4 linked regions of the Lepisosteus oculatus genome follow. The protein of the gene in region 4 interacts with the protein of the main gene of each other region in a biochemical or structural test. Links are inferred from orthologs where the notes say so. Each region holds a gene or a part of one and is shown on either strand. Other genes may lie near its edges. The genes, in order: usp10, numb, maml1 and notch1b.

What was found.
Region 1: the proteins of notch1b (region 4) and usp10 form a complex in vitro, tested with the Homo sapiens proteins (2 studies listed by BioGRID, with this or other methods). The link is inferred for Lepisosteus oculatus from reciprocal best matches to the Homo sapiens genes NOTCH1 and USP10.
Region 2: the proteins of notch1b (region 4) and numb form a complex in vitro, tested with the Homo sapiens proteins (2 studies listed by BioGRID). The link is inferred for Lepisosteus oculatus from reciprocal best matches to the Homo sapiens genes NOTCH1 and NUMB.
Region 3: the proteins of notch1b (region 4) and maml1 form a complex in vitro, tested with the Homo sapiens proteins (2 studies listed by BioGRID). The link is inferred for Lepisosteus oculatus from reciprocal best matches to the Homo sapiens genes NOTCH1 and MAML1.

Annotation. Positions count from the first base shown.
Region 1 is NC_090715.1:10,018,391-10,025,686, reverse strand, and holds the start of usp10 (ubiquitin carboxyl-terminal hydrolase 10), read right to left. Parts: upstream 3,374-7,296; 5' UTR 3,126-3,373; coding exon 3,105-3,125; intron 1-3,104. Other genes in the region: marveld3 (MARVEL domain-containing protein 3), read left to right, coding at 6,578-6,849, 7,201-7,296. UniProt on the Homo sapiens protein: Hydrolase that can remove conjugated ubiquitin from target proteins such as p53/TP53, RPS2/us5, RPS3/us3, RPS10/eS10, BECN1, SNX3 and CFTR.
Region 2 is NC_090703.1:20,408,848-20,416,425, forward strand, and holds the start of numb (protein numb homolog), read left to right. Parts: upstream 1-4,560; 5' UTR 4,561-4,609; intron 4,610-4,615; exon of another isoform or gene 4,616-4,770; intron 4,771-7,578. UniProt on the Homo sapiens protein: Regulates clathrin-mediated receptor endocytosis. Plays a role in the process of neurogenesis.
Region 3 is NC_090706.1:33,847,213-33,855,174, forward strand, and holds the start of maml1 (mastermind-like protein 1), read right to left. Parts: upstream 3,186-7,962; 5' UTR 1,970-3,185; coding exon 1,646-1,969; intron 1-1,645. UniProt on the Homo sapiens protein: Acts as a transcriptional coactivator for NOTCH proteins. Has been shown to amplify NOTCH-induced transcription of HES1. Enhances phosphorylation and proteolytic turnover of the NOTCH intracellular domain in the nucleus through interaction with CDK8.
Region 4 is NC_090719.1:5,185,240-5,193,011, forward strand, and holds the start of notch1b (neurogenic locus notch homolog protein 1b), read right to left. Parts: upstream 3,229-7,772; 5' UTR 2,953-3,228; coding exon 2,895-2,952; intron 913-2,894; coding exon 831-912; intron 1-830. UniProt on the Homo sapiens protein: Functions as a receptor for membrane-bound ligands Jagged-1 (JAG1), Jagged-2 (JAG2) and Delta-1 (DLL1) to regulate cell-fate determination.

The sequences.
Region 1 (7,296 bases), on a different chromosome or scaffold from region 4:
TGTTCAAGATTTCAAACGTGACTTGTGATGACCTGTTTGTATAGGATAGCACGAAAAACATAAGACTGGCTAATATTTTTTTTCTATTCACAAAGTGCAGTCATTGTACAGCACTCAGAATGGTACCCCTAAAAGACCATTATATACAACAAACCCACAACTAGTCTGTGCTTCACACAGTCACAAAGGTCATCTAAACACCAAAAAGAACCCAAAACATTTTTTGCAACACAGGCTCATCCTTGCATAGCATGATCAGTTTAAGTTCAGGTGGGTAGCTGCGTCAGCATGCGTAGGCTGCAAAGGAACAAGTAATAGGTTTATTCCATGCTGAAAAAAAGAAGAAAGAGAACACAACGTTTCGGCCGTGGAGCCTTCTTCAGGTGTGAGCCTTCACACCTGAAGAAGGCTCCACGGCCGAAACGTTGTGTTCTCTTTCTTCTTTTTTTCAGCATGGAATAAACCTATTACTTGTTCCATGATCAGTTTAATACTGAGCTATTTTGCACACTACTATATTTTGTCTTTGACTCTCTCTGCCAACAGCAGCAAAGTTGAATGAAAAACATACCGATCCACTACAACAAATCCACAACAGACAGTGTGAACTACAACGATAAGCTCTAAACTCCAGGCAAGTCTTCCCAATCCACATGGACTGTCATGGTGTCTGGTAGCATAATGCTGTATACACCATCATGCAATTAAAGACCATAAGCATTCTTTAACATCAAAAAGAAATACAGCAAATAAAAGGTAAGTCAAATAGAAATGTCATAGGCAAGCTGGAATACAAAACGAGCATTTATACAATTTAAATTTCTTTGCTGAGGTAAAACTTCCAAAAACTGGTAGGGCAACCTCGTTCGCTGTTTTAAACTTGGCAAAGCGAAAGGCAGATAATATCTATCAAGTTAGCGTACAGAGCGTTTTCCTTTATGTCCTGATAGCCAAACCGATGCAAGTACAGGAAATGACCAAAAGCATCTAGTTAAAAAGAAACATCCACAGTATCCACGCACGGGGGTATACTGTGTCCTTGAAAAGTCAGAAAATGCACAAAGCTTTTAACAATGCAGATTTTCTGAAGTGCATTGGTAGTTCCGAATCTATACATCTTAAACGTATTACACATTTTCTTCAAATACACCTCATCATGATCTCTTCACTGATATTAAATACGGATTCCCCCTGTGCTCTGAAAACTGAACACCCCACCGGTCTGGGCACAATTACTAAGTACGCGAAACATGCTAGGTTTATACTAATTAAGGACAACCGATTTAAACTCAAGTTAAAACTGCAGTAAACAAAAATAAGATTTTACGTCCTCCGTAAACGATTTACAATAAAGCAATGCATCCCTTTTTGTAAGTTTCAACAACTTGAGCGGCATCACGTGTCAAGTGTCCTGAATGGAAGCCGCACTCTGAAGTTTTAAAGCACTACACACCACCTCAGCGGCACAAACCGCCCAGCTTTCAAGCCGGGAGAGAAAAAAAAACACTAAACCACCTGTACGTTTCTCGTGATACTGAAAAAAAGTCAATGCAAATGTGTTCCTACGTCGAGCAGCTCACAGTGGTCTCAGTATAAAAATGCTGCCTGGTAGGGGGATGGGCGCCTATGATTCAGCTGAATTTCAATGTTCCCGTTACAACTCCTCGTAACGCGCTGCCCAAGTTGAAACTATAAACGCGAAGATGTAGCTAAGCAAAAGAAAGAGAAAGAACGATACATTAATAGCTTGCACTATCAAAATCATGCTATATTATACACGCCAAACTCGCAAGTATCCGAGAGCTTAAGTACACACCGCTTCCTGCATCTAGCAATTCCAAAAAAACACGCTTTCCTCAAACTTACGCTGGACACTCAAATGCCTACACTTTGTTGTCTACGACCTATCAGCATTTTGTGGTACAATTCTACTTCTCAAGACCGCCTGCTATCACAAATTCACCCTTCAACCCACGACTGCTCCGCCACCAAACCTAAGAAACCGCAGGTACCGAAACTTCTTAAAGGTCTTTCAGCTACTTCTCCCAAAGCTAGGAAAACCATGAGTATAGTTATCATCCGGTATTCCCACCAGAGTTAGCCAGCACTCCACATTATTCCTGCATGCTTCTAAATTTCTCTCCGATCACCGATTTTCGTGTCGTTTTCTTACAATATAAAAGCACAGCTAGAATAGTCTCTGCGCCTTAGGGGAAAAAAAGATAGGGGGCCCAAAATCTACGGCTACTCCTCAAATTTATTTCGGCTTCATAGGGTAACAGTGGAGGCAAGGCTGCGATGAGAATCTAAATGATGAACAGGCCCAAACACGTTACGCAGGCGTCCTTTTCAAAGTAAAGTGCATTTGCACTGAAGAGCGACAAACGAGTTATAAAAATGTCCATTGCAAGTCCCGTTGCGCTCTCCTTCATACAACACTGGATGAGTCTCCTAACACGGAAAAACAAGACCGCCCCCCCTCCCCGATCAACAGGCCCAATGCATGCCACCAGCGGATGCACCGTTTCACACTTTAAATGAATTAAAAACCGACTCCAGAGGGGGGGAGAAACCCCCAGTCAGGACAAAAACGGGTCGTGCACCACAACTCACTGACGGCGAGGGTGACTTTTACCCGAGCGCGCTGTTTGACACCGCGGAAGAAAGCGGCTCTCAGCTCGCCGAGGCCTGTTGCGGTGCAGGTTGGGCCGAGCACGCCAGCTAAACCATCTCGAAATGCAATGCAAAACCACCCGAGTGGGGCAAACATCCACGTGTTGAGATGCAACCGGGGCTGGGTCGACACGGCGGCACGGGTCGGATTTCTGAGCGCAGGACTTAAACCCGCTCTTCGGGAGCTCTCGTCTATGAATGAGTGAGGCTGCCTCTGGGCCTCGTCCATGCTGGGGTTTCAATGGGGGAAGCAGGCATCCCGTGCTCGGGGAAACTCGCCTTGCAATTTTTTTTTCGCCCACTTCTCAATGACAAAGCTGCACTTTGCAACAGCCAAAGCACTCACACGCATGCCAGCATGAGCCGTGGCGTCTCCGAGGCCCGCTGCAGTACCTACGACTCGGAACACCAGAGTGAAGAACAGTTTTTACCTGGCTGCTGTGTGAAGCCATGCTCCCGGCGAGTTTCTTTTCTTTTTTTACAATTAAAAAAGAAAATAAACTTCCTCTTCTCCAGGGATGAGCTGAAATGTGGTCTTTGACTTAAAAACAAATCAATTTCTACTGCGACATTTTCAATGTAGTTTCTTTTTTTTTAATCTAGAGTATATAACGTTAAGGTTGTATTCTCCTCCTCCTGCCCATCACGCTGCTAACCCCACCATGGCCGCCATCTTTGTCTCGCCTTGCTTCTGGCTTGCGCGCGCTTGAGAGCCTGACTGAGTCCGCGGTGAGCGCGTGCGCCCTGGGTGGGAGGCGGAGAAACGCGGGGACGCGCACCGCATTGCGCATGCCCAGCGCCAGCGGAGGCGAAAGGGCCCCTTACACCTACAGCACATGGGTACACGCTCGCGGTTTGGGAAATATATTGAAAGGGGAGACATGGCACACTTGTCTTTAATGCATGACTCTGCATGTTTTGTATTCAGGAACAATCATTTCTTCCTAAAATGACAGAGGAAATCTAAAATGACCACAAGCTAGCGGGACTGGTCCAAGCTAGCTGATGTTTTAGTAGATAATTCCTGCCAAGATTTAATCCAAACGTTTCTTGAAGCAAGCTAGGGTATCTGCATTAACAACACAACTGTTATTGTGCCACGGGAAACCCTTTGTGTAAATTCGTGCCTCCATTCCTCGGTTTCAAATACCCTTCCTAGCAGTTCCCACTTGTGATCCTGTCTTTTTTTCACTGTCGATTCTGAAAAAGTCCAATAGGCTGACTTTATCAACATCTTTTAAGAATTTGAATGTCTGAATCTGGTACTGCTCTACTCAAGACTTGACTTTTTCATTCTCTGGACTGACTCAAGAGCAGCAATAATGTTTTGCAATGTGACCAATAACCGTACAATGAATTGTACAATTGTAACATCACTTGATTTAAATTCTACAATAGTAACTGATTTCCCCCCTTTACATGATAGGCGTCCTGCTCCTGCAGTTGAAAATACCAGTGAGTTCAATTTTCCCAGCAGCAACTGGAATGGATGTGTTCACACAGTTTGGCTTCCTCATGAGTTGTGCAGATCACGGGGTTAAAGACCATTTTTTTCTGATGTTTTGTGAGATTCTTTCTGTGGAAATGTATGCAGTTTGGATCCACACCGATTTAGTGGTCAAAACCGAATTTTCTGTTTTGATGACGAGACAGAGACGTTTCTATAGAGTTTTTTTTTAATTGTGAACACCCTATCGGTTTACATTTTCATTGTTTTTTATTCATTGTTCATTAGCTGTAGCCATAAAATTATAGTTATACCTCACGAATATGATCAAATCGAAATCCATCGTGAAAACTAGAGGTTTAATAATGCCATTTGCAAGAGCGATTAAAACTGTTTCTGCAACATTGAACGTAGATTAACATACTTCTTATATTGCCTTATCAAATATTTGCTATTTAAAGTAAATACTAATTACTTCCTAAAACAGTGAGTCGCGCTGCGACCAGTTAAAAACGAGTTTTTAAAGGCGGGGTTCTCCGTTTGGGAAGTCAAGCTGTGAGCTCAGGTATGAGGTGTGTATGTGTATGTGTGTGTGGGATCGTGGTGTCGGAGCTACGCACAAAGTGTACCTTGAAAATTAATGGCGGATGTGAAACATCAAAATACAATAGTTGTGCACTGTCGATGGATTTAACCTGGTCACTCGAGGCAGATATGTCCATGTTTCGTCAACAACACGACGAAAAATAAAACAAAGTACCACAAAACCTCGCTTTCTTTGTTATGTTGCGTACTCGGAAGTTGTGGTATTTGTGATGCTGACTTGAAAACTTGAGTCCGAAAACCATTTAGGTCGAACTGAAGACCTCCAACTTCTTTATTTGACCTCTGAAAGATACACGAGTTATTTCTCAACTCAAGTCCTGTTTCGAGGGTTAGCGAATTACTGGGAAACTACTGACCGGTCAACCAGTTTCGGCTGAGAGGCGCATCAAACCGGGTTTCGGTAACCGGAGCTATTTGTACAACACAGCCCGGGATGGAGCACTGGAACTTCTTTTGCTGACTTCTGAGGGTAAGCTGTGCTCATAAATCAGTATAAAATACGCAAAATAAAAAATCGCAAAGTAATTGTATATACATACAGGGTGATGGTGGCCAAAACCAGTGAAACTCGTTACTAACCCTATTAGATGCAGGCGTAACTCTTTGCCTACTTTGACACTTTTAACAAGAATATTATGATTATGCAATGAAACAAGTAAAGGTTTATTCCACGCTGAAAACGTCACCCTTCACACCTGTAGGAGGCTCAACATCTTGAAACGTTGTTTCTTTTTATCTCTTTTCAGCATGGACTAAATCTTTACTTATTCTTTGTATCCTACGCATGCTGACGCAGCTATCTACTCGAACTACATATGATTATGGTCCAATGTGTAGATTACGTTTAGTTACGAAGAACTATGCTTAAAGTCTTTGTATTCACCTAGTAGAACTACACGCTGCTTTAATAATAGTATCCTTATATTTACATAGCGCTTTCTGGACACGCCACTCAAAGCTCTTTTCAGGTAATTGGGACTTCCACTTCTCAGTGAGGAGGAGAACAGTGTGATAAAGTCAGTTCAAACATGGGGATTATTAGGAGACCGTGATTGGTAAAGGCCGCTGGGAAATTAAGCCAGGTTATTGGGGGTGACACCCCTACTTTCCTCGAGAAACTCCCTGGGATGTTTAACAACCACAGAGAGGCAGGGGCTTGGTTTTAAGTTTCATCTGAAGGACAGCATCTTTTTTACAGTATAGTGTAAGCATCGCTATACTGGGGCATTAGGACCCACACAGACTGCAGTGTGAGCGCACCCTACTGGCCCCACTAACCCCTCTTCCAGCAGCAGCCTTAGCTTTCCCCGGAGGTGTCCAATCCAGGTACTGGCCAGTACCTGCTGAGCTTCAGTGGGCTATATTACCCTGCAGCTCACAACTAACTTTAAGCTCTAAGACCTGTTAAATTTGGCAAAGCATGAGCATGTTAGTTTTAAAAAGCATCAGCATTTAATAAAGTATTTGCACAGCACTGCAGCACTATGTAATATTTATATGCGAGTATAAAAATCACTCTCTGCATGTTTTTTTAAAAAAAACACATAGTATAGAACATGGATAATATGTATTTTTGGATATTACTTAAAGCATTCTGGCGTAATTATGATTTAGCATCCGTCATGACTGACTGTGGTACATTGATATCCTTCACCTGTGTCTTGGCTGCTCACTTAAGTGTTGGCACACCTGCCACGAAAATGATTTTGCCGTTTTCCTGCTACCACTGTGGGACTGTTGCAGCTACTGTATAAGTGGTGCGTTACTTTTGTTTTTCTCTCTGAGCTGTTCTCTGCCCCTTCATCGATCCACAGGGCATACAGTACATTCACGGAACTCACAGATCATAAGATGCCGGGAGGTGGGAGGAATCCTGGAAGAGATGAGGAGCCGCAGAGCAAGACGAGGAGCGAAAGTGGCACTCGCCGTGATATGGACAGACAGAGGGAGAGGTACCGGCACGCCAGAGACCAGAGACACCCGCAGTACTGGGATGACAGGGATCCTAGCTACCTGGAAAAGAGAGACCGGGATTATCCTGACAGACGGGAGGACAGGAATCCCCGCAGCTCCGGAGGGCCGCAACTTCAAAGGGACCAGCCTCCTTCCTACAGGGAAGAAAGGTAACGGAAAATTCACTCTTTTTTTCCTGAGGTGTCAAAACAAAACCACAGTGGGAAAACTCTGAAGATGGCTGAAGTGGTCTGAGTCTACACTCAGAGGCTGGAGCTGGTGGTGTAAACCTTTCGTCTGTTTCCTGACCCACAACTCTCCCCTCCCAGGTGTCTGGACTTTCTATAAAGATCCTAAATCTGTTGGTCCGACAGTGCTTTGGCCCAGTTCCTGTATATAAAGTGTACGAAAACATTATAACTTGGTTACCATTGCTCTGTTGTTCCTGCAGTAGCAGGTGAGGTAAGAGCCGGGCCTGTTTTCTTCTCTTCAGTGCTCATCGTTACTTACTTTAAACACAGGTCACATCAGGGACCCTCAGTGCCTCCAGATGAAATGAGTTATGATGAATCAGTGCCATCCAGTGGGCTTCGTGGCTGCTACAACTTCAAATATAT
Region 2 (7,578 bases), on a different chromosome or scaffold from region 4:
TGTAACAGCAGAAAACGAACAAGGCCGGTAATCATAACTATACACACCTTAGATACATCTGTGTACAATTTATATGAAGAACATCAAGTTTCAGGGAAAAAAAAACAAATCTAAAAAATAGGATTTACCCTTCAAGTAACAAAATAACTCACATTGGAAATACAGGGTAAACGAACTGCAAACTCAGAGAACAACTAAAACTTGTTCCTTTCTTTCTCCGTCCATTAATCTTGATCTTGGCAAGAGGCCGAAATTGAAATCATTTGGTTTTAGAGCACAGAAAGAAAGACGAGTTCTCTTGGATCCTGTGGAGCTAAATGAAGTGATTTAGAAATTAGATTTCCAATGGACCAATTATTTTATGCTTAATTAGTGCACATGAATATATGAATATATTTCCCAGGACACATTTGGAAGTGAAGAATAAATCCCTCAGGCCTGTGATTCTGGGTGACCAGAGCAGCTGGAATGTAGGTGCCTCTTTGTTTACAGTATGTAGAAGCGCTCTTAATCCTTGCAAAGAGAGGCACAAATTTTAACCACTTCTTCAGGGGTGATTGCTTTTATGCTATAATGCTCTTTTGCTCCATCAGAGTGGGCAGAGGCAGGAATGAGAGGAAACTGCAAAATCTATGACTCTATCCCAGAACCCACTAAAAGTTCAGGCCTTTGTACAGTCACAACAGTTGTCATCCTGCTGTCTTCCTTCTTACTTCACTGGAGCCACCATTGGTAGATCTAGAGGTCTGTGCCAAATGACACTAGTAGCTGCATTCTTAAGGCAATTTAAACAGAAACTCATATTGGCTTTTTGTGAGTTTAAAATTGCAAAATGTTTTAAAATTAGCCAATTTTAAGGCGTATTTCATTTCAACTCCTGTGTGCAGTACAGTTTCATTCTAGACCCACAGGATAGATTTAATGGCTCGGGCTCGACTCCCTCCCTAGCCTATAAAGAGCATCTGCATGACCCAGTATTGGAGGGATATTACAGCCCTTATGGGCTCCTCTAAATGTGCCTTTCTCTGTCACCTGCTGTGAAAGGCTAGCTAGACAAGATGCTTTAGGGAGTGCTTTGCAGAGCAGGCAGAGCATTTGACCACATATTCAAATTGCTCCCAGGCTAGCAGCTTGGCACAGCTCAAGTGCATCTGCATGCCAACACACTTTATCTAGCATTCTTCAGTGACAGGGGACCAGGAGGTCATGGTACAGGCAGGGGCTGAAGGGGAGAGGAACACAGCTCAGTATCAACTGGCCGGTGTCCTGGGGATTCCTTGTCTTGAGCTTCTATTATTTGAAGATCTCCTTGTAACCTTTAGGTTTTTTTAAAAATGTTTGTTTTCTCTTTGGACAGAGCAGTGCTCTACCACACTCCAGTGAAAACAGGAAACGAATGCAAGTAGAAATAGTGAGGTGAAATAAATCATCCCCGACCGGTGCACGTGCAGTCTTTCACTTTTAAGTCTTTCGGTTAATGCAGACCAACGCTTGAAAATGCACCTTCCTGCAATTTTGCCATCTTCGATTTCTTTCACTAATGCTTTGTACACTCTCTGTTTCCGTTTCATTTGTATGTGAACTGATTAGCTATCAGCAAAAGAGACTCTGGCTTTACAAAATGACACAACTGTATACATTCGTTCCAAAATGATAGATTTCAGAAGTTACTTAACTGTTTAGAAATGACATCATTTCTCACAGCTTTCTGAGACAGTAGACAAAGTTCTTATCATAGAGCCTAAGCTTATTTTATCATTCAGCAGATGACAGAGGCAGACAGGGCTGTGCAGACAGAAATATGAGCGCATCTCCACCTCTATTTTACAGCCACTGCTCTGTGTAAAGTAGTAGTGGACATTTTCTGTAGTTTCCTGCAGTGTTTTTTAATATGTATTGCATATTTTAGAGAAAACATTGAACTTATTATTAACCATTCTGAGCTAGTGTACAATTAAGCTGTCTGATTAAAAGAGTAGATTTTTGGTAGCACATAGTACATACATTATGCACACACATGATAGAGAAATGTCATGTCTAGCCAGCAGGGTATCTCCTGTTACAGTGCCAAGTTATGTTTGTTGGTCTTCACAAACCACAGACTGCACTTATAGGATGAAGCACGTTTGTATCTCAACCAAGAATCAAACTACAAAATCCCAGCAGAACCAGCATCTGAGTACTGGAGTGTGAGAGGATAACAAATAACAGCCCTTAGCCCTGATCAAGGTACAGAGACCTGAAGACTTGAAGATTTGCCCACTCTACCAATTATGATCCTCCTCCATGTTCCATGAGCAATGTTCCCATGGGTCTTTATTGCCCAGGGTAAGAGCAGGGATCACCACATAGGGTCATTGGCTAGGGATTTCTGTAGAAAATTCCTTGTTTACTGGCCCTCAAATTCCACTCCCAGCACCAGCCAGAATTTGCTTTTCATGCTACCCTTCAAATACTCAGCCCTATAACCATGCTTCAAATTGGGTGTGGCTGCTGATCAGTTGTTTTTACTTTTTCCTCTTCTATTGGCTGTTTGGGTTACCATTAACTTAATCCTGGATTTCCGCAAGAGCCTTCACAACACATCTCATCAACAGACACTTCTGAAGCGCACACATGGGCTGGTGTGGTGGCTCTGTGGCTAAGAATCTGTGCCTGTGGCTGGAAGGTTACTAGTTCAAATCCTGTAGCTGACAGAGGCATCCTACTCTGTTGGGCCCCTGAGCAAGGCTCTTCACCCCAACTGTTCCAGGGGTGCCATGTAAATGGCTGACCCTTTGCTCTGACCCCAAGCTTCTCTCCCTGCCTGTGTGGAGAGCAAGTGGGGGTATATGAAAAGATACAAATTCCTAATACAAGAAATTGTATACAGTATGACCAATAAAGTGATTGTATCTCTTACATGGAGGAAAGGCTGGGAAGCTCTCTCCAAGCTTTTACTCCCGGTAATAACTACAAGTTTTCCCCTCGGTCAGTCACTAAACAGAATGTAATGTGTTCAACAGGCCAGACAGCTTTGTTAGTATATTTTGAAAATGTGCCATTGACTATCGGCATGCAAAACATTCATTCTCCCTCTGAGTGACATTGATAGGATCTTCACAGTTAGGCATGCTAGGAATGCATGTCACCAGTTGCGTGTTCAGTGGGTAGTTTAGTTTTCCCCTGGGATGTGCCACAGTATAACAGGAATCTCCGTGTTAGCTCATTAAAATGTTAACTGTTAGACACACTAGTATTTCCCTGTATGTCAAGTGCTTTTGAAAACACCATGTATAGGATTTGAAAAAGCATTTCTGTTCTGGACTTAGCTGCTGTTTAATGCGTAAATGTCCTAACGGGTTTGTGAAAGTAAAACAAATAAAGTCACTTTTTAGACACCATTTGTTCTAAGAAGGGTCAGATGCTGCATGCTGCAGTCATGTTATTCTGATGCCTACCTCACCCTGCAAATTAAAAAATCAAAAACAAGAAAATGTGTGATGAAATATGCCTCATGCTAGTTTTCTCTGCATTGAGACATGCAGACTTACAAAGAAGTACTGGGTTTTGTTTCTATTCATACAAACTAAGCAGCTTCCAGTCAGGTGCTGCAAACCAGACTATGGACAGTGATTTTAAACCTTATCTCTTGCATATTTCTACTCATCCAAAACACCCAAGACCTCTGTTAAACGTGAGACTACTGTCTGGTGTGTTGCAAGACACTGGCAATGTTCCCAGTAAACTGCTTTATTTAAAAACAGGGTTGATCCTGACAGACTAGACTTCGATATACTCATGACTGGTATAATATTTAGCTTGTGTCAGCTTTGCGCTGTTCTTGTGAAAATTAAATATGCATTAAAGTGATATTTCTGCTCATTGTTTCCTTTTATTACTTCGTGTTATCATCTGCCTATAAGGTCGAGACCTTGGAAAAAAGTATATTTTTACACTTATCTGTTGTATTCTGGAACATTTTGTATGTATTCGCAAAGTATTAAGTATTCACAGTGCCCCCGCACTGTACTGGATGTGCAATATACAGCTAGTGTTACTTATTTAAAAAAAAATCAGTGAGACTCCCCGTCGACAGTTTAAAACTGTCAGTACAGCCAGATACACTGTATTTACAGCACGCCGGTGCCTAAAGCCTAAGTTATCTGCAGCTTCAGAAACCAGAACAGCTGGGGTTAAACAACCAACCGACGCTTTCTTGACGTATAACGAGATCTGTAACCTCTACCCAAGCATGCGCAAATCATCTGCTTTCCACAGAAAACTGAACAGCTCTGAAGAGGGATGAAGAAAATGGGCGGGGAAATTATGGGGATGGGTAGGCACATAGTGCGCAAACGAGCAGACCCAGGTGAATGATTGGGTGCTCCATCTTCCGCTATGAAATGAAGGCGGAGCGATAGTCTTGACATGCATTCGATTTAGCCTGTACATGTACTCCTTGAGCCTTCGGACACGCCTCCTCTACTGCTGATTGGAAGTCCGTTCGGACAACCGAGGGAGTTAGCTCCCGCCTCCAGACTCAAGGGTTGCTGCAATCGGAGTCGATGGAAGGCGGGCCGTTGCTAGGGGTGAGGTTAGGTTGAGCCGGCGGCTGGTTAGCGAGCAGGTGAGTCGGCTGGCTTTCGCTGGATTGGAGGTGTCGGCTCAGTTTTCCTTCCCTGTTCTTCTGGGAATTTACATTGTATTGGTCGTTTTTCGTGCTGCTAGGAAGCTAAACCAGTGCCAGTAAGCACTTTTACACCTTTCCTGTCTGGAGCTGGTGTCAAGGTAAGTCCATTCCCTGACAGTTTCCTGTTTTTTAATGATTTTGTTGTTGGCTACTTCAGTCGTATGCCGTGCGGTTCTGGTAGCGCCGTAGTTACTTGTTCGCTCTGGGACTTGGGTGAATTTCACTTGTCACCCAGTGTACAGCATGTAGTGTGAAGTCCTGCCAGATGCCATGCTATCAGAATATTACTTCTCAAAAATGACTCACGCAGTCATTTCGTTTTTTACGGATTTCGTGTCTCAGAATGTCTTGTAATTCTGTAAAGGCTTAACACGTTAACATAATGTGCGACACTAGTGTATGTAAAGCAAAGCCGTTGTGTCAGTCGGTCCTAGCGAGTGTACGAACCCTGGACCGGTAGCTGCAGCGAGTCTAGCTGCTTAAATTAAAAACTGTCACGAAACGGGGCGTCTTGTGATTTTGCCTTCTGCGGGTTTGCTGGGCGTATCGGCACCTGTGCATGCCCGGCTGTCCGCTGACTTGTGTTTTCTGTTAACAGTTTACGTTTTCAGGGGCGGATTTAAACAGCTTTGATGGAGGAGTTAGATTGATCAATCTCAATAAACTGTTCTATAGTCTACCGCTCTGCCAGTGAGACTGTGAAGGTCAGGCACAGCAGAAGTGGCCGGTATCGTGCGGAAAAGAACCAGACGCATACACAGGAAAAAAAAAACGCGAGCATTACTCGTGTGCGGTTTGAATCACATATTTCTAGGGATCTAACGTCAGCAGTATGCAGAACGGTCTCATGTGACGGGCTAAGGTATTTAATTCTTTGGATACTTCAACATGGTTCAGCTGTCTTCCTCTTTGGAAGATGCAGTTTCTGTTCGTGATTTGCGGATTGAAGGAAATCGGAAGGAATCTGTGTCCCTTCCTCAGCTCGGATAGTCAGTAACCTATTAACCCAAAACGTCCTGGACAGGTTAACCACTGGGCTTCTCTGTCCCACAGAGCACCGGAGGTGGAACCGCATTCTCGCCAAAGCACACATGGATAAAAGCACACATCCTTGTACCGTCAGAGGTCTTTTATAAAGGTTACAAACGAGAGGAACCCATCTTAATTAATCTAGGGATCTATTGTTTATGTAAAGAAGACAGGGTTTCAGCTTCAACAACACGGCTGGGCAGCCTGTTTATCTTCTTTGTTGGTCCAGAACTTTTCTGCACCATATCCTGGTTTGAGGCCGCAGCCTTGTAGCGCAGAATACTTAATTGTAAGTACCACAGCTCATTTTTTACACAAAAAATGTACAAATATCCGATCATCTCTTGTTTCCTGAAGTGTTTTTTAACAGAGATGCCTGTTTGCAGAGCTCTGATGTTTCCCAACACTGCCTGCTTTGTGAAGGAATTGGCAGCTCATGCTCTGGATGAGGACTTGCTACCGTTTCAGTGGTGGAAGGGACAGGAACTGCCCCCTGTCCCCTGGGGCACTTTCTCATTGAGTTGTGGCTTCCCACACGCTGTTCTGTTTGAGAGTCGAAAGCGCACACTCGATCAGCTTGTGTTTTTTATTAGGAGGGGGGGAGCCTTCCTGTGGTTTTTATTTTTCAACATTTTCATTTTCCATAAATGTGACTGAACTTACAAAAGTGCCTCTGTCCCTTTATGTCTCCCAACTGGAGAAGTAAAAAGCTGGTGAGCCCTACTCACAGTGGAGTTCCCAGGACCTGAACTGTACCAGAGCCAGGTGACACACATACGCATGTCCTTCATTAACTTGGCTGCCGTACTGCGTGAGCTGTCTGAAGTCAAAGGCTTAAGTTAACCTATTTTAAAAAGCGGCCAGGGGCAAGAGTTTCTTCCAAAGTTTTCCTGCGCTCCTGTGGGTAAAGGGCTTACGTGGGGAATGAGAAGAAAATGGGTTCTGTTTCTGTAGTGCGGTTCACCTTTGTTGGAACGTGAGCGCAGCTCTGGGTGGGCTGTGGGTGGTCTGTGTTGGGCTGGGAATACCACCAGCCCAGGTGGATTGCTTCCTCAGGAAGTTAGCTACTGTGTGAGAGTCATGGGATGGGCACAGCCCCTGCCAGTGACAGGCCCTCTGTGCCCAGTCGTGTACAAGCCTGGTTTCAGTGTCTGCCAAAGTTCTTGTTCTTCTCAGGCCACCTGGGAGCCTATGTCTAGTCTTGATTTTGTAAAGGATGTTTTCAGGCATTTTCTTTTGCTTTATTTTGTGAAATGTTGCTCTGATTTTTCTGAAACTGAACAAATAGCAATGAAAGGCATGTGTTCATTAACCTTCCAGTTCCATTTAACGGTAAAGAGGGCAAATTAGTTCTGTCTTTTATGGTCTGATATCTGCTGATCCTCCTGATCCAGCAGAGGGTCCAGAGATTGAAATTAGAGGCAGTTTCTTTGTGTGACTGAGCATAGATTTTGATGAAGGCCTGTGTGTTCAGAACTGCAGTGTGTGGGGCCAATCTCTTGAATCTGTCTGTCTGTAATCTTAGTATGTTATTTGTTTCCATGTCAAGCAGCATTTTTTGCTGAACCACATTCCATGTTGATGTTGTTTTGGTTTAAGATTATGTAAATGTTTGCCTACAGTTCTACAGAAGGGGTGTTTGAGGTGGATCTTTAGCAGTCAAATTCAAGACCCGTTACAAGGCAGTGAAGATCTAGAAGTTGTTTATGGCTGTTGGTTAAAGGCCGGAGAATGGCGGTCCTCAGATGTTTTTGGAGAAGGTGGAGTGTGTGCAATGGGAAGTCTAATGTGTGACTGGTTGAACTGATGTTTTCTTTTCTCCATTTCTTTGTCAGAACTATTTCAGAGCAGACAGGTGTAGTTGGAAAGAGATCCTG
Region 3 (7,962 bases), on a different chromosome or scaffold from region 4:
CCTGTTATCAAGCATTTTAAATGAGAACTTGGGGCATGTCAACACTGAGTCTCCAATCCTGGTATGGAACTATCCAGCACATAAGTAACTGTCAAATCAATTTTTCCCCCATCTTAAAGCCCTTCAGCTCCCATATTTGAAAAACAAATACCCGAAGGAGACCCCATAGCCAAAACGCTGCATTTCCTTTCTTTTCTGAAAACTTGTTCCTTTGGAAGAACAAATGCTTATTTGGGGTGGCCTACAAGTCTAACTAAATAACCCTGGTATAAAAAGAAAAAGCACTGTTTAACTGACAAATTGTGATCCCTTGTAGGTAAGAATCTACACTGAGTTTTTACAACATGCATGCTATTGAGCAAAGACGAATGACACGACTCTCCCTGCAAATATACAGCACTCCCAGTTTCATCATTACACAAGTTGTTGTGAAACTAAAAAAAAAATTGCAAGTAAAAGCTGTGAAGGCCCTTGAGGGAAAAGCTGTTTTGATAAAATGTATTTGTATCTGGAGACATTAAATTCAGAAAACATTTTGCATTGACTATTTATGGATGCTATTTGATATTTTTCTAACCAGTGTTACTGCTTACATATTAAAGGAGCACAACATGTTCTTAAACACCTGAAGAAGACTTCACAGCCGAAACGTTGAGTTTTCTCTCTTCTCTTTTCAGCATGGAATAAACCTATTACTTGTTCCTTTGCAGACTACACATCCTGACACAGCTACCCACCTGAACATGTTCTTGAACTACTACCACACAGGTAAAAGTTGATTTTACATTGGTGGTGCTAGAATATTCAGATATGGAATTAATCATCCAAAACCTACTGATCACCTACAGACCACATTTGTTTTCTGTGCATTTATGAAGTGACTGTCAGAGTTTGGATATGTCAATAGCCATCACTTGTTTTCGGCACAATCAGCAGACAATAGGGGGTCCAGATTTAACATCAGTATACTGCAAATACAGAACCTATAACTAGCGTTATGAGGGGGTAATGCAATAACACCCATCACTGAGGTCACTTCTCCTGCTTTCCTTCATAGACAGCAGTACCCAAAAGCAAAAACTCGAAATGTCTTAAAAACACATTGAGTAACTTTTTTTTCTGCATCACAAGTTAAGCTAGATAACCTTTTCAATCAGCCACACAGCTAAGACTGGCCTTTAGTTAAAGTCTCACTAGACTTCAGTCTATGCCCCCTACCTTAAAGAAGTCTACATGGTGACATTTTATTTCACTACACTGTCATACCAAACTGGGTTTCATGAAATCAGAATGACATCAGTTTAAGAACATGTTTAAACTCGCACGGTATGACTTCATAAAAGGAGTCATCATATTCGCCCAGATTTTAATGGAATTACAGCAGCGTTATAAGTGGCAAAGTGCCAAATACTCCCCAAACTGCTGGAGTTCAGAGGTCAGTCCAGATGGGGGGGGTTTCTTCCCCCCAGATGCACAGAGCATTCCTCTTAGATGAAGCAAAACTCGGTCTGTGGCTTGAGTGCTTCATATCTCCAACACAAAGTTGAAAGTTCATTAACGGGCATTTAGCTTTCAAGCATCCCCTGGAAAAGCAAATCGAAATGCAAAACCAGGCAACACAGCATCACAACTCAAGCGCGCTTACCGCAATCAGAGTGCTGTTCCGGCTCTGCTCTCCGGGGCCGCCGTCCGTCATCTCAGTGCTGCTACCCCCGGTGCCAGCCCCCCTGAGTCCCGCCTGGTCAGACGCCGGCTGCGCCTGTCTGTGCTTGCTCGCCCGCTTGGCCTTAGTCTGCAGGCAGCGCTGGTGCAAGGTGAAGGTGTGCTGGCGCTCGATCTCCAGCCGCTCCATCGCCGTGTTGTCGTAGCGGCTCTCGCAGCTGCTGTGATGCAGCCTGAAGAGCTCGATGCGCCGCCTGAGCCGCTCCATCACGGCGCTGTGCCGCGGCACCACGAAATCCGCCATCATCAACGGGCATGTAAAATGATCGATTACAATTCAAGGGGCTCGGATTTCCCAGAGGTATTGGGGGATACAAATAAAATCAGTTCCGAAGGTGCGCCTAAAAATGCGTGGGCGTTATTCCACCACCCCTTTTTTCCTTCACAAAAACATCACTACCGCTGCCTTCGTCTTTCCATGTTTCTCGACTTGCTCCCTAAACTATCATAACAATAGAGAACGCATGCCAAAAAGCAATTCAGAGCGCTATCTTTAACATGATCTGGCACTAATACATAACATAATAAAGTTATATTCCGGAGGCAGACAACCGGTCTAGTGCAATTTCGCAAACGCGAAGCTTACATTTGATGAGGTTACATTATAACGACCGCGTTTAAAAAAAGACGAAAGTGAGGCTTTAAATAATATTCATAAAGTTTGGAAGTTAAATCTCGGCGGTTTACTGTAGTAGCTGAAAACCAACCGTTAATTTCCACAACTTCACCCCTAACAAAAGGCAGGAGGGTTACAACAGCATATCTGAAACTATTTTAAAAGTGAATCCGAAAAAGTGACGTGAAACAGCATTCGCGACAAAGAAGTTCAACTGCACAGAAACATACGAAGAGCAACCTCTTCTCCGAAATAACTTCACCGAAGAAGTTAAGATTCTCCTGGCAGTTATTTTAACTTTACATACTTCTTTCTACGTAAGTCCGCCCGACGTCGCCTTGGCGTGGAAAAAACCGGACGGATGGACAAAATCCTAACTTAAAACGCAGCATGAAACGTTAAGTCAATATTATTTTTTAAACAACGTCGCTCGCATGCTGAATGATAAAAGAGGCAAACATTTACACAGGAAAAGTGAACTTCACAAAAAGTTACATCCCCCCCTCCAAAAAACAATTGACCACAAAAGCAACTTTTCCCCCCGAACTTATCCGCTGATCTTTATATTTTCGTTTAGTTGCCCACTAGCAGGCTACCTACGGATGTAGTATATATAATAACAAAGCGTGCTCTTCATTTTGACAAATGTAGGAGTATCAGAAAAGGGTAAAAGACACCCCAAACCCACCGGAATCCCGAGCCCTCAATGTTTGATATCCGAAGGTATTTTTTACACTAAGAAACAGAATGCCAAACAAACTCTTCCTCCCTTCTGTATCTCTATTGTTTTCCAATGGACTTGCAGCTTTCCGACGCCATTTTGAAACAAGTTTTTTTTCCCCTTTTTTTCTATTTTTTCCTCTTCGCATCACACTGCGTCACGACTGTCGTTTCCACTCCCCACCCCTTCTCAGCGATTGACAGCAGCCACAAGCAATGGAAAGCCCTGGTTTCCTTCACTGTGCGTAAACTTCGTTCAAAAAGCTATGATTAAGCACGCTTGGACGACATCTTTTTAAGAGAGGTGTGTTTTTAGTGAGTGGTGTGGAAAGACGCCAAACTTTTATTAATTTTCTCACAGAGCACATGATACGACTCATAAAGCGCTCGTTTATGTTTTTCAAACAGTACAGAGACCTGAAAATCACACCTAATTACACCACACGAGTTATCCACAATGATTATAACAATTACATAACTTAAATAACATCATCCGATATGTTTTAGTGTAGGAAAGTGTTGAGTCGATTATCTTTTTTCTTTTCCTAACTCTTGGTTAATTTTTTGTTAAGCACCGTGAACTAAAAGCGCTGTATAGAAGACAAAGTGAGTTTCCTTCTGGATATTTTTTTGGGTTTCTCCAAAACGATTTTTAAACGCTTGTGGCAGATTCCGTACGTTTAATTTTGCTAACGGACTGGAACTGTTGAATTGGCAAAATTATGGAACAAATGGTACATAAATATGCCCCTTGGACCTTTTCCATTTCAGATAAAGTATTCAATAGCAAACAAAACAGATCAAACATAAGTGGTATTTTATTGGCTCAGACGTCTACACACCACATTATATTTATACCATAAGTTATTAATCTTCCAAGACCATTATTTGAACTTGAAATTTGAGCCAAGCCTCTTGGTACCTGGATAAGGATACCCATGGGACTGTGCCATCTTATGTGACAGTTGTATTACCAACTGCAAGACCTCAGAAGCTAAGCAAACCTAAGCCTAGTCAATGGTGGAAGGACTCCAAGGAAAAACCAGGTTGCTATTACTATTAGTGGTGCTGGGTGACCAGTAGGGGACACTCTACCATTTGGCCAGAATTGACAAAACTATTGCCCAGGGATGGTAACTCAGGACACTGTGCTACGGAAAAGTGCCAACTTTAAAGTGGAACAATAACAGACTTCCTAAAGACCCTAAGGCACTATTCATGAGAGTAAGGGGGTCAGGGTAATCCCAATATCATGGCTGCTTCTCTTTGGGTTTATCCAATTTGACCTATTTACAGCTCCCCTTTATTCAACTGGTGAAGCGATTTCTCACTTCTCCTTATGAGCTTTAGAGTGGAATTGCTGTACCACCAATGAAATTACCTGCAAAGATGTTACCAAGGTAGGTACTACACTTAAGTGCTGGATGGAAAGGGTCTCTTTCTCTTAGAGAAGCACCTTTTCAAACAATTTCTTATTTGCTGGAGTATTTACAATAGATCACTTCTGTAAAGAGGCGCGTAACTGTGGCAATGGTGTCATGTTCAAAATGTATATGTTAAACTGACGTTCTCTGCTCCTCTTTTTTATAATCGCATGCAGTCACACACAGTAATCTACTTCATGAGTTGTTTTGCAAAGGCTGCTCTTCAAAAGTACAAAACCATGACAAGGCAGCTTGGCATTTTTAAATGTCATGTGCCTGCACTAGCACGGGCACCACAATGAAAGCCTTTCACATCAATCCCACTTCATTAATGCTGGGAAATCACAAAAAAAGATCTGACTCATTCTCTGCTTTAGGGATGCCCTAACATGACCTGAAATTATATAAAATCATTATGCAATTCAAATTTGTTCAACAATAGTTGAAATCGGTTCACCTCATGTGGCAGTTAGAAACTGGAGTGCTAGTGACTCAATTGTCCTTTTACAAAGAATCGTTAAGAAAAAAGTTTTTCATACCTTCCCCACAAAACAGGTTAAAGGTCTTTGTTTACATTTTTTCATTATAACTTTATTACATTTATAGTATATTTAGGGTTAGGTTGGTACTCCAGCTCGTCCTGCAGTTTTAAAAGAAACCAGACCCTCTCATTGCTACTGTTTATTTACTTCTAGGCACCAGTTTTGTTAAGCATTGAGGGCCTTCTGGTACACACAGATGCCACTAAGAACAAGTCTCTAATTTAAGGTGGGTAGATCAATCAATTTAATCTGGACCTTACTTAAGGCACTGAACATAATAAAGATCTATTTTTTGTGGAGCCCTAGAAATTAACATTAACCCTTAGGTTTCAACACCATTAAAATATACAAAACATAAAAGAATTAAGAAAAAGGATTTATTCATTTACTCTCTCAACTACCACTTGACATACACTATAAGTTGCCAATATGTATTCAGAGTGAGAATTTTGTACTTCCTCTTCCTGTTTAGTAGTTAGTAGACACCTGCCATACTAAAACAGAGATAGCACTGGCCTTCAAAGAGAACGTCTTTCAATCGAAAAAAATCCTTGTTTCTAGAATCCATGTCAACAAAGGCTCCAGAAAAAAAAAGAATACCATAGTAATGAGGAGCCCCATCTTTCAAACAAATGAAACAAACCGCATCCATCAATGTTTTATTTCTCTGCAAAACATTCCACAGATCCATTTATACAACTGCATTTAAGTGTCCCACCAAATAAAAAGACATCAACTCTGAAGAAATTATGAATTTTGTGGAGACAAAAACAAAATGGTAATAGCCCAAACTCAAATTTATTGTACAATATTTTATCTCAAAATTCCATCTATTATTCTATTTGGTGCATGATTAATGTGTTAGGAACTGGTAACCGACGTTCCATAATTCCACAGAAACTCCGTGAGGAACAGCACACATCTATGAAAGAGTGGATGAATCAAGGTTAGGCTTTAGAAATAGGAACTGAAATACATGACCACTTTAAAATAGTAAACCATATTTCTAGAACAAGGGGGGGGGGGGGGGGAACCTCACCTTGGTTTTGTTTTTTTACCAAGAGCTTTTCACCAATCCAGATGTTTTTATAACTTTTAGATATGCCTGGACTCTCCCAATCCTATCAAACTGACTTGGAAGAAAAGAAACAGGTTGATGGAGAAATAGAAAGCTTAGGCCATCAAATTGATCTGAACTTGGTTATTAAAAATAAATTAATGAAAGTAACAAAACACCATGTCAGAATGATTTTAGTCTGTAGCTCTTTCGGTTGAAGAGCTGGTGGTACTGATGTCCTCAATATCTCCATGTGAACACCATCGGTTCTCAGAAGAACTACTTGGAATGAAAAATAGCCAAAGAAGTTCAGCCACCCCTACATCTCTTCATGTCAAATTATTTTATTTTTGTGCAGTGGGATAATTGGTTTCTTTGGACAGTAGCAGACGTATGACATGCTGCCAACAATGTGTGCCAATCATAACTCTTTAAAATGTTATTTCTTCAAGCTGTTAAATTCCCCCAGAACAAAGTTTAGCATTCCATAAATATGAAACTGAGAGCAATCCTTGGTATTTTTATTTTAGATTTTTGGACCATCTCTCAATAAAACGTGACTTTTTCAAAACAGCTTTCCATTATCAGATGCAGCAATGCAGCCCGAGCTGTACAAAGTAAAGGCCTGCTCCTTCTATTCAAAAGGCTGATACCCTGAATGCTGTAGATGTTAGTACATCATGGCTCATCAGTAACATCATTAAAAGTAATAAATACTGCACTTTGCCTACAGGAAAACCAATATCAAAATATTCATTATCATAATGTATACAAAATGGAATTCCATTTGTAATACAGCAAATAAGAAGAGCAACTTTTATTCAGTTTTGAAGTCAGTGCAATCAGTTAAGACATGACAGAAGAAAAAAGTGTTTAGTAGCTGGCCAGGAGCAAGCACTGAAAGCCCTTTAAAATCTGCAGCCCTTATACCAAGACAACTGTGACCTTGTTCTGGAGAATAAAGTGTTGGGGGTTTAGGATAACATTTCAGATTCTTCTCTGCGTTTATCATCACGAATAAATGCAGGATTAAATAGGCTTGATGCCTGAAACTCAGAAAGCAACCAGGCACTTCTGTGTTGGCACCTTTTATAGCCAGGAAATTAGATCACAGGATGTGCACCAAAGTACTCACGTAGGAATGGGTAGTACCTTATGTCAGAGGCGGAACAGTCCTGGAAACTCCCAGATCAAGTGTATGCTCTTCATACAGATTTGAGGTTTGAACGCTTGGGTTTAACATCTATTCACATCAGCATGTAAGCGTTTAATTCACCAGTTGCTGACTTTTCATCTAAGGAATGCAAAACTTTATTTTCCTTTATAGACTGTATACTGTCCCTCCATTTTATCTAACTAAAAATATTCTAATACTAACAATGATGGAAATGAAAATTAAAAAATAAAAAATGCTCAAGAAGTAATATATTAAAAAAAAACATCCTCTCACATTACATTCAGGAACTCATTCAGAAATCCTGGCCTTCTTGAATAACAAGGCAGCATTTTCTAACCTAAGGGCCCCCAATTGAACTCCCTTTAGTCTGAGCCATCACAGGCCTCTGAACAGTAGAAGGAAGACCACATTTACCACAGAAAGTTCTGGACTGTAAAATTAACAGAGCAAGTATCCTTAATGGGCTATTATAATTAACAAATACAGACCTGAATGAACACTTGATCCAACACAAAGAAACGGATCACAATTTCAATTCACATATCAAACCCTGTTCTCAGGTTCAATATATGCAGTATTTTTAGACGATACATCTGAAACACCCCTTTAAATAGACGTTAAACAATCCAGTCTGTGTTCATTGATTCATCCATCTCAAACAGGGGAACTTAAGATGTGAAACCTAGTGCAGGGGTTTGGTATTA
Region 4 (7,772 bases):
ATTAACAGTAAGCAGACTCCAGGGCAGCATGTCTGTACTTGGGAAGAAGATTTTCCACTGGTGCCTGTCAGAGGAGCTCTGAGCCTGAGATGGGAGCTGTACATGTTTAGTTGATCAAGGAAAAAAATAAAAGCTCATAACAGATGACCAAGACTTTACCCTGGGCAAATACTTTTAGTTGCATAATTTGCCCACTGCACTTGTTTGGTTTCATTTATGTCTTTGAATCAGTTCCAGTCACATACAATTTAATTACATTTCACAGCCATCTGGGCTTATAATGTAAATCACAGAGAGATCTTCCATTCAAAAAAGGGGGGGAGGGACGGAGGCAGGGGGAGTGTGTGTAGGGGGGGGGGGGGGTTGGGGTCGGGGCCGAGAGGGGAACTCGCATTCTGAGAAGCCACACAATGATTAGTCACACAGCATTAATCTGCCTTTTTAACAATAGCTACCGAGTTGCGACCGAATCCCAGCTGTCGCCCCATGAAAGAAAAGAAAAACAAGAGTTAGAGCTTCAAGCGTCTATGAGACTTCTGCTGGAGAAGTGTCCTGCATTCATTAGAGGCTGCGGGAAAAGCTTGCTTTTGTCCACGAAATTGCTCATGGGCCTGATTAATTTGCCAAAGTTTTTTTTTTTGGTGTGTGTGTGCGCGCTGGGGAGGGAAAATGTTAGACAGACAACACCGAAGCAATGTCACTAAAACAAAAGACAAAAGAAAAAAAACAATATAAGGAGAATAATTTTGGAGATTTTTACGATATCGTCACACTTCGGGGCTCCGGTCTTGACGTTGCGATCAGATTCGCCGGTACAAGCGAGCGCTTACCTGCATTCTCCTGATCCATCAGAAGCGGTTTCGCACCTCCCTCCATTCAAACATGTCTCAGCGGGTAGCGTGCATCTCAGACCTGCAAGCACAAACATCGCAACTTGAACGGCCTTTCTCTCGCTTTATTTTATTGAAGTTCAAAAGTCGCCGCAAGAGATGTCAGGAGACATGGGATGAGATTCTTCACTATGTATTCAATCTGGCAGTTATTTTCCCCATAAACCACAGTGAAACACTGGGGAAAAGTGGACATCAGCAGCACGATTAATTAATAGTACGACACAGTGACACCCCAGGTTGCAACTTCGCGGACGACACAGGCATGTTCACTTTAAAGTCATGTGTTTTGCAGAGCTGAAGTAAACTGTAGTGCCAAGCTGAAAGCTAAATGAAATCCAAGGTGTTACTTTCAAAGGCTATTCTTGCTCACTGCGAAAGTCTGCCAAACTTCTGCGCACAGGGCAAAAGTTGAATACAGTACAAACCAGGTGCATGTGTATGGACAACGCTTGGGCCGCTCTGCAGGTGGATAAGGGTATTGCAACTGCATGCGACACGCAGAAAAGAGTGTCCTTATGTAGACTGCTTAGCAAAACAGGACAGAAATACGGAGAAAACGCTTTTCTGCGTCTAGGCTGACGGGCGCAGTGCAATGCCCAGTTATGGTTTACTAGTAGCAAGGACTTTGTACAATGTGCGGGGGGCAGCACAATCGCCCCTGGGGTAGTGAGCTGAATTGTGTATTTAGGAGAGTGCGTGACGTGCAAGCCCGTGGGAAAAACGCAACAGCTGCGGAGCAAGGACTCTCCGGACCCTTAACAAAAGAAGAAATCAGAGTCCAGCACTGTGGCAGCTAAAAAAGCCTCCTGTTGTCTTGTTTAATGCGGGGTACGATCAATGCTGAGCCTCCGCCTCCACTTGCGTTAGATACAATCTTAGAGCACACGAACGCCTTGCCCCCCTGCCTCTCAATAAAAAAAAACACTGGATTAATACCCTCATCAAACACCAAGCTTAAATGCTACAGTATCAAAGGACAGTTATGTATTAAGTATGCGTAATACTGTCAAAATATAATGCATACAAGGTTGGAGTTGCAGTGTACTGTACGTTATCACTGTTCTCAGTCGAAAATAATGATCGTTTATGATATTAATAATATACTGTGAAACAACACTAAGGAATACCCAAGCAACACGTAGGGGCGAAAAAAAACTAATACCTTTCGAAAATGATTTAGTTCAGAACAAGGGAGTGACTCATTTGGACACAAATGTAACTTAAGAGAAAAAAAAAAACTTTCACACGCTCGCCTGTAAGATAACAATTATTAAAACTGAGACCGCGAAACCGAAAATAAAATCACAGAAAAGTTACTCGCATGCCTCAATACGATCGATTGAAGCCTGGTGTCATTTTGTTAAACTTCCGCGATGTTTGCGAGGAACAAAAATATCTGAAGAGCGAACATAAATCGGACAAAAAGTACTCCACAATCTACATCAAACTCGACAAATTACGTGTTACGGTATCTCAGCATTTTAAGAGGTGTATGACAAGCAAAAGGAGGTGAAAATGAAGATTAGAAAATGAAATTCAGTGGCACTATAAAGAATATAGTCATTCTAATTTTGACACAAGAGTAAATAAACTCCTGAAAAGGTCACGCACGCGATATTAAGGTTCCAAAAAGGGTTATATTCACAATAATTCACTTTCTGTTCCAGTGGATTAGCAACTGATGCTATTTAGCTAGCAAGATGCGTCGCAGGCTGAGAACACGCAACAAGTGTTTTAGACTTGACTGCTGGATTTTTCCCCCCTTCAGTTAAAATAACACCGCGACACAGAATGAGTGCAATACTCTTGACTTCGACCACTTAGACCGGAATTCCCATCACTATTAGTCCTAATTATAAAGTCCCCCAAGTCATATTTAAAAGTGCGAAGAAAAAAATAACGTCTTCAATCCCATGCTTCTGCGAGAGACTGGGAATACAGTCACTGTTAAACGACTAAATAATAAACGGGCTCTACTGAATGCGAAACATGTTAACTCACCTCGTGTTAAACCAGTCAATGAAATCAGAAATATTAGTTTCACAAAGAAATGATGCATTCCTTCTCTTCTGCTTTACAGATCCTTAATAATCCCACGTAAGGTTAGCATAGATCCAGAGGTTCTTTTCTTCTTCTTTTGCCAAGAGTTTTAATGCACATCAAATATCCTCAATAAATAGATCCAAAAACCTCTCACTCCCAAATGTCCCTACGTACTCCGTGCGTGTGATGTGCTCTCCTCGGCTTCAGACTTCTATATGCGACTTGGCTTTCTGCAGTCTCCACTTGGCAATCAGGGGCGTTATCCTTCCGCGCAGGTACCTCTCCCAAATTACTTCTCGCTCCCAGAGCACTTGCTCGAGGAACAGTGGGAAAAACACGCCCCCTCTTTAAAACCACCTTGCGTTTGCTACGCAGAGCAGTTTGAAATTAAACATTGACGTCCACTCACGTTTTGCTGAAGTGTTTTAGAATCGGAACTATGCGGCAGAGCACTACTGTAGTACAGCACTTGGGGTTAGTACGGAAAGTTTGTGAAAGGCGGAAGACTTCTGCCTAATTTACAAATCAATTGAAGGGTTGCTGGTAGAGCGCCGGTCTGGGTTCGGCTGCTGTCTGTCGCTTGCTGGGAGAAAGTCTGAAGAACACAGCAGTCTTCTCACTTCAGACGCCCGGACAGAATATTCAAAAGTCTCGCCGGTTATTGAATTCACGACATCGCTTGAAAATGAGTTAATTTGTTTCTTTTCCCTAGAACAAAAAAAAAAAGTCCCGCGCCAGTTTCCGTCCTTTTCAGTGTGTGCTGATGCACTTTTTTGTTTATGGAAACGATACATTTTTTCAAATAAAAAGGCAAAACAAAGAAAAATTTGAAAAATAAAACATGTGACAGGCGTGTTGTTGTAAACAGTATTTATCCAAATGATATTCCACCTAAAATCCTGATGAATGTATAAAAATAACCTTTTCTTAAGACCACATTAGCTGTAAATAAAAAAAATATAGTCGGTTTTATCCAAACATTGTTCATTCTTTGGTGGGTTTCTTTTTTTTAGGAATATTGTATATATTTGGGTTGAGATTAAAACGATTATGGTATCTTGGCAAACAGTTTCATATTTCGAACGGGAGCCTTATCTTTTAACATTCTTTATCGCTTTATTTATATATAATATCCAATTTATTTTTGTATTTTGAGAGGGGCGGGGACATTGTTAATATGGCTTGAGAACTTTGGGGTCACAAGTTTACAATTTATTACAACAGGGTCTACCGCAATATAGTTATGACGCAGAAGAATGAAAGCCAGCCTAATGTTTGTCAAAAACAAAAACAGGCGGACACTAGAAGAAACCTACGGGGAAGTATATTTTAAGACAGGAGACACGTCTTTACACCAAGGGTTGTGGGAGTCTGAAACAAGTTTCCCAACCTTGCTGTTTAAAGTTATGACCTGGGAGACTTTAAAAAATGACTGTCTGAGATTCTCCAGTCCATCTCAGATCTGTGTTTTTTATTATATAAACCAAATTTAATGTTACAATAATTCGCCTCCAAAGAAAAAAATATAGTAGCATGATTTCAGGTGGGTAGCTGTGTCAGCATGTGTAGGCTGCAAAGGAACAATAGGTTTATTCCATGCTGAAAAGAAAAGAAAGAAAACACAATGTTTTGGCTGTGGAGCCTTCTTCAGGTGTAAGAAAGATTGGCCTGCCAATGGACTGCACTATTGTTTTTGGAATATACCTATTACTTGCTCCTTTATGGTAGAATTATGCCCATTACAATTTACAGGCCTTACAGGTTATATAACAACATAAAACAAAACAGTTTAATCATTTGAGGTTTCTCTGTTGTTCTGTGCTGCCTCAATGGAATAAAATTACACACTGATAAATATCTCACAGTGTTTCACCAGCATGGAAAGCTGAAAACACCAACAAAAAACACAAAGAGATAACTATATGCTGACATTAACCGTTTCACATTAGTCTTGAGCTACAGCAACTATATCTGATGACACTTCCTTGTTTATATCTTTATGCATGGATATTTACACAAAGGATCTTCCAAAGAATAGGTTCAAGTGCTGCACCCAATGACCTGTCCGAAAGAGATTTTGGGTTTATCTCCTGCAGTAAAAGGTCTTCCTTCTTTTATCTAGGATCGAAGACAGTAAAAGCAAGAATTAAAAGCACATTGACTACAAATTATCTTCATCTGTGATTTAAACTATGGCTTTTTTTCTGTTATACACATGGTAAGTGGAAAGTGTGAGAAGGTGGTTTTATACTGTTATCACTTTCACTCACTTTCGGATAGTGATTGAATGAAGGGGGAAAACAGGAGGGAGACACGTTCACACCTTTCTCCTTGTTAAAAGAAATCTATAGAAACCTATTGCATAGAGAACATTTCCATATAAACCTATAGATCATCCTTAGGTTATTTTCTTAAACTAATCATTTTTTAATCTAATGCACCGAGCACTTGCATAAATACTTCTACTGCTACTACCACTATTTCTATTGCTACTGCAACTAATAATAATTTATTTAGCACTTTTCATTCAAAAGTATCCCAAACCTCTTTTCAAATAAGAATGTACCCACTCTATCAATCACTGAAGTGAAGCCCCAATTGTTATGACTGCAGTCCCACTAATTGCCATGTCTGATATGAAGAAGAAAAATGTCTGTATGTGGAGACATTAATTCACATGTAACACAAATATGTAGTCAAAGGCTAACAATAAATGAGTGTATTCTCCCACCTGCCTAATAGAACAACCTACAGTTCTTCTACCAATGGTATCAGAAACACTAACCTTGAAACAATCAAAGTGCATGTAAATCAAATTAAAAGATCTTCAGACAAATGTCTGATAAAAACAAGAGATGTTAATTTTGCATAGACGCAATGTTATAATAAAAAAAATCATAAAAACATTTAATTCTACAAATGTCAAATCCTCCAATTGTTTTTCTAACAATAAATTAGTAGATAACCTTTACTTCAACTTTCCTTCTATACTTTCCTATGTAGGTTAAAGATGAAAAAACATCAGTTGCTGCAGTCTTGAAATGTTGTTGCTCACTCAGTACAATGCACTGGTTTCTTTGTGAAACTCCTGGCTTGTGTGATTTTGTGGTTTAGGTTTTAGGGCATTTAGATTTTCATTAAAGTCTAAGATGAGGGGAAAAAATGATGACGCCCCTAGTTATATAAAACATGTTTACAGTACACGAAAAGTTGAACGTATTGTATGGAAATTTGTGCCTTTCTTTCGGGAGTAAGGTGGGAACCACAAGGTGAAATGTTATCTCCAGTTTCTGCGCCTCCAGGCAAAGCTTAATTTTGCATAGCCATATTTTTGCGTTGACAGCTGAACTAAACCCTGGCCAAGAAAAAGCAGGTAACAAACGCTGGAAGTGTGGGAACAGCCTCTTAAGGAGAATCTTTGACCTGGGGCCAGAAAAAAAAGGTAAAAAAATTGTGGAGGTGGTAGTGGTGAGAGAGAGAGTTAATGAAGTACAGCACTGTGAGGACATGTGGAAACACCCCCATACACTTAAATGATATATACATTTTATTGTTGTCATAATCACAATATATCCCAAACATTTGGCATATATTAACTCCAAAACCCTTCAAGACTTGGCTTTTTATTGGCAGGGCTGCTGAGTGCCAACGGCATATTGCATTGTTAATAACTTTGAAAGACAACTCTTGTGGATAAATGCTCTAGTTATAAATGTACCATTTTATAGGCAGAACGTCTGTGGAACAGCAAGGCTTGTAAGAGAATATTTACAAGAATGACCGTTTTGAAAGAACATACAGAGTGTGACTTTGACTATAGCAGATCTAGAACGCTGCTCTGATCCCTAAGCTTTCTCATTTATTTTTTGCTCTTTGTGAAGTAGTCACCCACAGGTGACTTCAGTGCAGACCAACCCAGCTAACGCCCTGTAACATAAACCTAGTGGGTGTGGAAAAAAGTAGAAAAATCCCCCACACAGATGCATTCTGGCAGATGTCCACTAGCGATACTATTCACCTGTGAAAGGATGTGTGCTGTTAGCGTTGTCTCCCTTAACCCACTAATCTCAGTTTATCACAGGACTTATTTTGCTGAAACACACAGCTGCCAACACAGCATTCATATTTGTACAGAACTGAACAGAGGAGAAAAAAATGAACAATTGCCTACTGATAAATTTATATTCCACGTTAAGAACACCAACACAGTTTTTCATCTGTACACTAAAACAAACAGTAACTTTTATGGTGATAATTCTCTTTACATTAGACAGTTAGTGTTAACTGGCAGAAAACAATTTAGTTGTAGAATCCCTTTCATTCAATATGAAGCTGCACAAATCCTCCAAAGTATAGGTCTGGTGTTACAATCACTAATAAACCAACCAAAATTCTATATTACTTCTGTGTAGGTGTGTTCTTTAAAACTATTTTTAATTAAAAATTATAACAGTAAACCAACACATTGACAGTGCCCTCCAGACATATTAAAAAACATCATATAGCTGAATGAGTTAAGGATTGTATAATATGTCTCTTTATAAATTCTAATTATGTTATTGCTGTAATTGTAATAGGATTGCACAGAGCAAAGTAATTTTTGTCATAAAACAAACCGAATTCCAGAAAACAAGAGGGTCACCTTTACTCAGATCTCTAAATATTTAAATAAAATTAAACCAAAACAAATCAACAATCATATTATGCTGTTTGGAAGTACGAAGGAAGCCTCCAGAATAACAGCATATAGAGGCCTCCATAGGATATACAACTCTCCACTGTATTGGAAACAAAAGGAAGACTAGGGCCGTTTTAAGGAACACAGTCCTTTTCCAG